Linked DNA regions of Nothobranchius furzeri. The protein of the gene in region 2 interacts with the protein of the main gene of each other region in a pairwise test. Links are inferred from orthologs where the notes say so. Each region holds a gene or a part of one and is shown on either strand. Other genes may lie near its edges. The genes, in order: aplf and xrcc4.

Region 1 (4,501 bases), about 7.8 Mb from region 2:
ATACCGCCATCTGCCGGCTTAAAATGGTATTGCAGTACATTTTAAACAACTTGGGAGTGAAAAGGCTGTTTTGTCACTACAACGGATTTGGGGATGTAGTTTATTGTTAATAGATATTGTGGTTTCACAACAATAAAGTTTTGTATTGTGCATATGGATTTATGAGTAGTACGAAACAATGTCTGAGTTTCTTGTTCTTTAAATTACAGTCCAATTAATCATACATGTTTGAAATATAATGCTGAAATATTAACCTCTGAACATTTTTTGTTTGTTGATGATATTTCATTTTTAATTTATTATTATTTTGCATCATGATTTATTTTATGGTGTAGTGTCATGTGGTAATTGTTGCAAATTCTAAATGTAATTTTTATTTTCCTCAACTGAGGTCATTTTTATTTGCTTTATTCTTCAGTACGTTGAATGTAGGTTACATTGTAAACTGAATGTATGTGAAAACGAAGATTGAAATAGTTTTAAAAAAGTTTAAAATGTACTGCAATAACCATTTTAAGCCGGCAGATGGCGGTATCTGTCCCGATTGCAATGACAATATTGAGAAAACTAACAGTTTATCTCTTTTTATTCCACAATCCACATTGGTAGCAGTTGTCATAAATTATTTCAGAAATTGAGAACTGCTCTGGCGCTCTCCATATGGCTCTGGTGCTCCCCTGCTTTTCCTGACTCTGTACCGGAGGCCGGTGACCCACCGCCGGTCTTCCACCCGGAAGTGTCTGTGGATCTTCCACTAGATCTGTCACGGATTCGTCTGGGGGAGCAACAAAAATGATGGAAAAAATAAATGCATTAACGCTTCTGATTGCATTACACTGTATATGCATGAAGTGACTGGGAAACGCATTTGTAAACCGCTTGAAATATTTCAAATATTTTCGGTGACAGCCTTGTTTGTTTTGATTTTGTTAATAAAGTAAAAAATAAAAACGTTGGCATGATGAGGCCGATGATGCATAAGTGCTGCAATTACTGAGGTCACTACTACAGCCGCAGGTACCGTGGCAGCAGTGGTAGGAGGCGTGGCTAGTGCCACTAAAAGTCGTGGTAGGGGGCGTGGCTAGTGCCACTAAAAGTCGGAAGTGTAATGGCAGCAGTGGTAGGGGGCGTGGCTAGTGCCACTAAAAGCCGTGGTAGGGGTCGTGGCTAGTGCCACTAAAAGTCAATAATCCAATAATACCTAGCTGCGGACATTGCCCAGGAAAAACGTTTTTCCTGGGCAATGTCCGCAGCTAGACCTTACTCCTAAAAGTCGTGGCACCACCCGGAAGTGTAATGGCAGCAGTGGTAGGGGGCGTGGCTAGTGCCACTAAAAGCCGCGGGTGCCACTAAAAGCCGTGGCACCACCCGGAAGTATCAGAGCTGCCACTGTAAGTGCCACAAGCGCTGCCGCTGCCACAAATTGCGCTCGGTCCTGCTGAACGACCGTTGGGACCTTCTATCCATGTTTTTGTTGATTGCTTTCATGTAACTTTGTTTTGGTTCCATTTACAAAGATACATTTCCAAAAACTTACAAAAAATATTTCTATGTATGAAATACTTCTTATTGTTACTAACCCTCATTTATCATCCAATGAAAAATACATAATTAACTTAATCATTATTTTAGCAAAATATTATTTACATAAAAATTTTTCAGAACAGTATCCCCTCCATCTATAATTTAAGAATTACAGACCTTATGAAATATTGGAACAGCATTGAAAAATTAAAAAAGAAGAACAACAAACTAACAAAGATCATCAACTTATTTCATCATTTCAACTTAGACACAGCAGACCCCTAAGTGTTATGTTTTTAAGTTATATATGTTTTCGTCAGTTCTTTGTTTATTTCTTGTTTGTTTGTTTAATGGTTTCCTAATGTTGCATGTGTGTTATTGCAGTTGTAAACAACTGTAAAATGTGATCCATGGATATATTGAATGTATTTTCTGAATGTATCGACAACAAGTTAATAAAACCTGTTAAAAAAACATCCGTGCTTCCTCGTCGAATTTTCCTACCAACGCGCATTTCAACAGCTGATTCAGTCTGTCCAGGTTTACTGAAAATCGGTAGCTACTGTTAATTTATTTTATGAAAAAAAGGTGGATAGTGTAAGAAGCAGTTTAGTCATTTCGTAAAAATTAACCCCTTAGTTGCTAAAATATTTGAATATTCTCAGAACAATGACGATTTACCAACTTTCACCCATGTCGAAAGTATTCATAAAAATGGAGATTTGTATTTCCTTTATTAGAAAAATTAATCTACATAGAACAAACATGCTTTTCCCCCAACAGTCAGTTATTTGTTTGAATGTATAATTTTGGAGATTATTATGCAACTATGATAAATTTATTATATGTATATGTTAAGAACTGAGATCTGCAAAAGATCATGATTTAATATTGATTTATATTACATTATTATGTTTGTGTTCTCATTTGTTTTATCTCTGTATGTATACCTTTATCTTTGTATGTTTATATTGTAAATACTTATGGGTTATCTTTTGTTAACTAATGTCATGTGGTTTAATTCAACCAATGAGATCGCTGTCAGTGACGCATAAGAGATGACGTGACAGAAGAAACCGGTGTTCCCTGATTGAGAAGCTAAGCAGTGATGAGGCTGTATTTCCTCCATCAGCACGATTGATGACTCTGCTAACAGTAGAATATAAAACTTTTGGATGTTAATTTGGGACTCTTTCAGAATGACTGTAAACAATGGGAGAAATTTCTTGTTTACAGTATAATAACGACATTTTAGAAGGCATTTACAAGCAAACTGTCAGGTAAACATACAGCAAACAGTAATTTAACAAAACAACTTAAAGAAATACTTACTGTGACCTTCGAAGAGTTGAAAGTAACTAGATAAGTGACGAGATTAAACGCAAACTTCCACAGGTAGCGGTCTCGACTTGTAAACAGCCTGTGACGCAATAGGCGCATGCGCATTTCCCCAAAGTAGCATTACGACGGGGAGCACGGATTGTCGCAACACCAGCTGTCAGACATCTGCCGCAGGTAAGAGCCTCTGATTAAACCAGTGAAAACCTTTTTACCGCCATCTCCAATTTCAGCCTGAAACCGACTCGTTCAGAACCGAGCTGTTTGAATAACCGGGGCGGAGGCTGGAGGTTGGTTCCGCTCTCAAACCCGAACTCAAGTGTGTTTACTGGCCTGCTCCATGCAACGAGCTCCGGTTCTGTGTTGAGTTCGTGTTTAGCGGTGATTTTTGGTTATTTATCACAGACTAATGACTCAAATCGGTGTTCTGTTCAAGAATGATTTGGCAGTCTGGGTCAGATTCAGATTATTATCACGTGTAGAAGTAAGTAGTATGTTGTGTTTTATCCAAAGCGTCTTACAATTTATAACCTGTAGGGCGTGTTGTGATGTGTGTACCCGGAGGAAACCCACGCATGCATGGGGAGAACACGCAACTCCACGCAGAAAGGCTGCAGCCGAGTTTCGACCCTGTGACCTTTGTGCTGTGAGGCAACAGTGCTAACCACTGCGTCACCATGCAGCCTCAAGTAGTGCGTGTATGAATGAAGTATTCTGCTTCTGGTGAGGATGTTCCGGTTCTAGGAGAAGGACTGGACTGAGGTCCACTCAGGAAAATGGAACCGCTTCCTCAAAGTTCCTGGAACCGAAACTAAACTTAAGTTTTGTCTTAATTCAGGATTTTTAGTCAAAACTGTAAGAAGATATAGACAAAAGAGAGGATTTAATTAGAGGGGAAGAAAAAACATTAAATTTTATGTGAAAACATAAAAATAACTGAAAACTGTTTAAATAAAATTTTATTAATTTGGTAAAATTCATCAAACATAAATTTAAAATGTCAGAAACTAAACCTGTTTTATTTGTTATTGAATTGGAAAACAGCTGATTAAATGTCCTGGTGGGACTGGGACTGTTATTCCTAATGGGTTCTGAACTTGTGCTGACCCTGATTCTTGTTTCTGGTTTTGTTTCAGAGAGAACTTCTCGTGCGTTGCTGCTGCTGCTGCTGCTGCTGCTGCTGCTGCTGCTGCTGCTCTGGACTATTGCAGTAATATGCAGCATGACCCTGCCAGGAGGTCGTCCGTGTCCCTGCTCTGTGGACGAAGAGCCTCCCCGAAAGCCTTTGACGACTCTCAGAACTTTGCTGAAGCATTGCCGATGGAGATGAGCGTGAGGATCTTCGGAGAGCTGGATGCAGAGAGCCTCTGCAGCGCCTCACGGACCTGCAGACTGTGGCGGGACATCATCGAGCAGAGCGAGCAGCTGTGGAGGCGGCAGTGTCTGCTGGTGCGGGCGGTCTGTCAGAGGGAGGTGGACAAAGACCGGGGGGACGGCTTCTCCTGGAAGGTGGGTCTCCTCGCCCTCCCTCATATCCAAACTAAACATCTCTGCTGCTGATCAGCTGAGAGGTTCCTGTTCAGTGTTGCCGCTGTAGACCCAGACCCAGATCACGGTACCAACACTTACCAGGTGTTTT
Region 2 (3,827 bases):
GCTTATCATGTCAGTGCCATTAGAGAGCCGACACTGGCCCGAAGCACATACTGTAGGTGGTCATTCCACCCCAGCTTAATGTTCATGCTCAAAATGATTATTTTACCATTTAAGTCAATTATTTTGTTTTCAACCAATGCCAGTTGAGGTCAAGTATTTTTAAAAACCTAAAACTACATAAATTAAAGTGAACATTTTCAAAAATTTAAAGCACCCAAAGAACACTGGAGCATAAACCTGTAGGTGTGTTGTAATAAAGACCGACCGACAGACACATAAATAGCTGTCAGATGTTAAACAATACATCTGTTTATATATTTTTAATGTAAAGAAAATATCAGCTTAGCTGGATTATTAGATTTCCAGTTTGAGACAAAAACGTCTCGGTCATCTGCTCTATGTAAAAGATTTCATCAGTGATTATTTTATCTTGAATAAATAACTAAACTAGAAAATGTGATCTAGAATAAAAGACTGACACTGAAAAAACAACAATAGATTCTCAACAGATATTATTAATAGCCATATAGAGCCTTTCAACTTTAATCTGCTTCACTAGCTGGATTTATTTAACTGGAAACTGTGAACGCGTTCAAATATATATACCCAACTCCTACTTTACAAAACACTTTAAGAAACATTTGATCTTACCAAAATATCAGCAGGTTAGAGCTTTACAAGAATCTGTCCAGTAAAATCAAATCCCCCTCAATAATTTCAGTAAACTCGCATTTGCTGCTTGCTGGCAACATTCAGTTATCTGATAAAGTGAAATCATTAGTGAACACCTACCACTGGTGACACTAAATGGTTAACCAGTTGATCATATGAGTGTTCTGGAGAACAGCAAAGTGACTATCGTACCTCTGGAAGGTAGATCAGGAACTGGTGTTGGCTGCACGTCCTCTGGCTCTTCATCAGTGCTGCCTCCATACTCATCCTCCTCCACCTCACCACCCTGACCTGCTGTTTGGTCTGACTTTGCAGAATCTCTGCTCCTCTGTCCATCAGAAGTCCTGTGGAGGAGCCACATTAGAATGATACAAAGCTTTTTAGGTCACCGCCAAACTTAAAAAGAAACTCAGTGACTCAGAAAATGTCATAAATACAGAATCAAAGACATTTTTTGAGCATCTGAAGCTCTGAAGAAAATGTGAGGCACCTCAGCATGCTGAGTTTGTGCACCGATGGTAAACTTGTAAAGATGGTTAATGTGTAAAACGTACTTTGCTTCCTGCAGGTTTGTGACGGTTTCCTGCAAACTGCGGATCTTTGCTTTCTTCTCATTGAGGACCAGAACAAACCGAGAGTACAGCTCTGCCTCAAGGGCCTCTTTACCCTCAGAGTAGCCCTTCAGCCTGGAAGAGGAGACACGCAGGCGCACACACACACACACGCACACACACACACACGCACACACACACACACTGATTCTTATCCGGATATAATCTGACTATATTTGTGATCTCACATTTTAACCTGATAATTAAGAGGCTCACAGAGGACAGATAAGAGCTGGCCTCCAATAGCTGTTTCCCTCACGTGACATCTGCAGCTGTGTGAAACTCAAATAGGGGGTCGGAGTAAGTCATTCCGCTCTAAGAGTCGTTTTGTTCGCGACCGACATCACCAATTCGTAGCCTTTCAGTGTTTCTGAGCAATGGTACTGTCTGGCCTATATGTCACCTTGAAGCAGCGGGATTTGTTTGTTTGCTGTGCACGTGTGTGTGTGCGTATGTGTTTACTGTGCAGTGATGCTCTGGTGTTCTCGTCTCAGCCTCTGGTTCTCCTCTGTCAGTTTGTGGTTGCGCTGCTGCAGAGTGTTTCCTCGCTGCAGACTGTGGATCAGCACCTGCCTTACTGCCTCCACTGGCTCCGAGACGGCCTTCAGATGGACACAGCCCAGTCTGAACTACAGCAGACACAAATAAACCTTTATTTATTGAGTACGCCTGAGCCCGTAAAACAACGGTGTCTGGATCTGCACATCTACATTCATCCATAAAAAATAAAGCATCTCAAATGTATTCATTTCATGGATTTGGCTGATTGATTTGTTTTCTAGTTTCTTTGGTACATTATCAGCAGTAGCCATGGTATATGGGTCACTCTTTCTTTGAAAATGCTTGCTGGATTTAGACAAGTTTTATAAATTGCTTCACACTGCTTTTCACTACAACCCCATGTTTCTAAAGGATGGGAAGCAGTTTCAAACGTAAACTAAACCAGAATTAAATGATCAAATCTCATCAACCCATTATGATTGAATAAGTACTAATTACTGTTATATTTCATTATTCCTTTAATTCCTACTGTATAAAAAATATTTTGTATGTTATTTGTGCTGTAAAACATTTAATCACTACAGTAAAGTTAAAAAGGAGCCTAAGTCTCCTCCCTTTCCAGTCGGCTCTTGGGTCACCGGAAGAACAAAAAAATGAATGCAAGTCAACGGGGCTAAAAGAGCTATTTTCTAATCCACTTTGCCTTAGACCCTGGATCGCACATATGTTGTACTGCTATTTAAATGAAAAGTAATGTCGGGTGTTTCGACCACACCTGTCACATACTTTGAGATTTATCAGCTTGTAAAAGTTCATAATTAGCATGGCTACAAATCAGACATCAGCACGTTGCATATGTGACCTCAGAATCTCCTCTCCACTAGCGTAGCTGCTACTTACCACATGGCCATATTTATGGTGGTTCTTTCCTCCTGAAGGAAGGATTTGAAGTTTTCTGAACTTACAGCCATTTTCTCTCTGTTTTTATCCGTGCCTGGTTCGATGATGTCACTTTGGTGATTCACATTTGTAGTCCTGGGCTTATTTTCACACAAAATCTAAAATGGTGTTTCTCTCCGTTCGAAAATAAGCGAGTTCTTGGCATCAGACTGAGTCTTTAAAGTTCACGGACATCATATGTGAAATCCATGGTACATAACAAGCAGAAATAGAAAATAACTTGCATTCATTTTTTCTTTCTTCCAGGGACCCATGGTCCAGAAGTAGATGGGTGTGACTTAGGCTCCCTATCGGCGTCCACAATGCTACACCATTTTACCCTTACACCGTTTATAACAGACGTCTTTTCAAAATTTCAGTGTTTATATATAATAATAAGTATAAAGGAATGAATCAATTAAATAAATTGGACTTTGTCAGGAATGTAATCGTTCAAACATACCGGTATTATTACAACGCAACTTAATAGAAACGTGGTCCTCCAAAGAAGAGGCTGAGGGTGTTGACGAAAAAATGACAACCTGAGGAGGAATGTGTGCATGAGTGAAGCTCATATATCTTCATGTTGATGCCTCATGGTGTGGGTGAATGTCTGCAGGCATGTATTATTGGGGAAGTTGTGACTGAACAGGGAGAGCGGTTGTACACGTGGGCAAGATACTAAACTCAGAAAGTTACCATCTGAACAGCAGCTCACTGCTCCTCAGGGATGGGTCAGAGAGGAATTTCCCCAGTAAATGAAGACAATTTCAAAGATTACCTAAATTTGCAGGCATACTCGTTTTGATCAGAGTGGGATCATCTGATAGGAATACCTTTAATCTCAACTAAAGTAAAGCCTTTTTCTTGATTATTCCTTGATCTGATTCTTACTCAGGGGAGTTAAAAAAAACATCTTTCATTATGTATGATGTATTCTCACCTTCTGTATTTCTTCTGAGTGTTTCCTACTTGCCAGCTATTACTTCACTGCCTTATGGAAATGTTAAGTAAATAAACTCAGGCTGAAATGCTCCTTGAAGTGGAAACACCTCTTCTGAGTTGCTGAAGCCCCTCCAGTTATTGCCTCACCACATTCACCCA

The links.
Region 1: the proteins of xrcc4 (region 2) and aplf interact in binary tests that used the Homo sapiens proteins (3 or more experiments, as listed by UniProt). The link is inferred for Nothobranchius furzeri from reciprocal best matches to the Homo sapiens genes XRCC4 and APLF.

What each region holds. Positions count from the first base shown.
Region 1 is NC_091746.1:29,719,375-29,723,875, reverse strand, and holds the start of aplf (aprataxin and PNK-like factor), read right to left. Parts: upstream 2,974-4,501; 5' UTR 2,857-2,973; intron 1-2,856. Other genes in the region: fbxo48 (F-box only protein 48), read left to right, coding at 4,078-4,371. UniProt on the Homo sapiens protein: Histone chaperone involved in single-strand and double-strand DNA break repair.
Region 2 is NC_091746.1:37,559,083-37,562,909, forward strand, and holds part of xrcc4 (DNA repair protein XRCC4), read right to left. Parts: intron 1,913-3,827; coding exon 1,746-1,912; intron 1,359-1,745; coding exon 1,227-1,358; intron 1,017-1,226; coding exon 865-1,016; intron 1-864.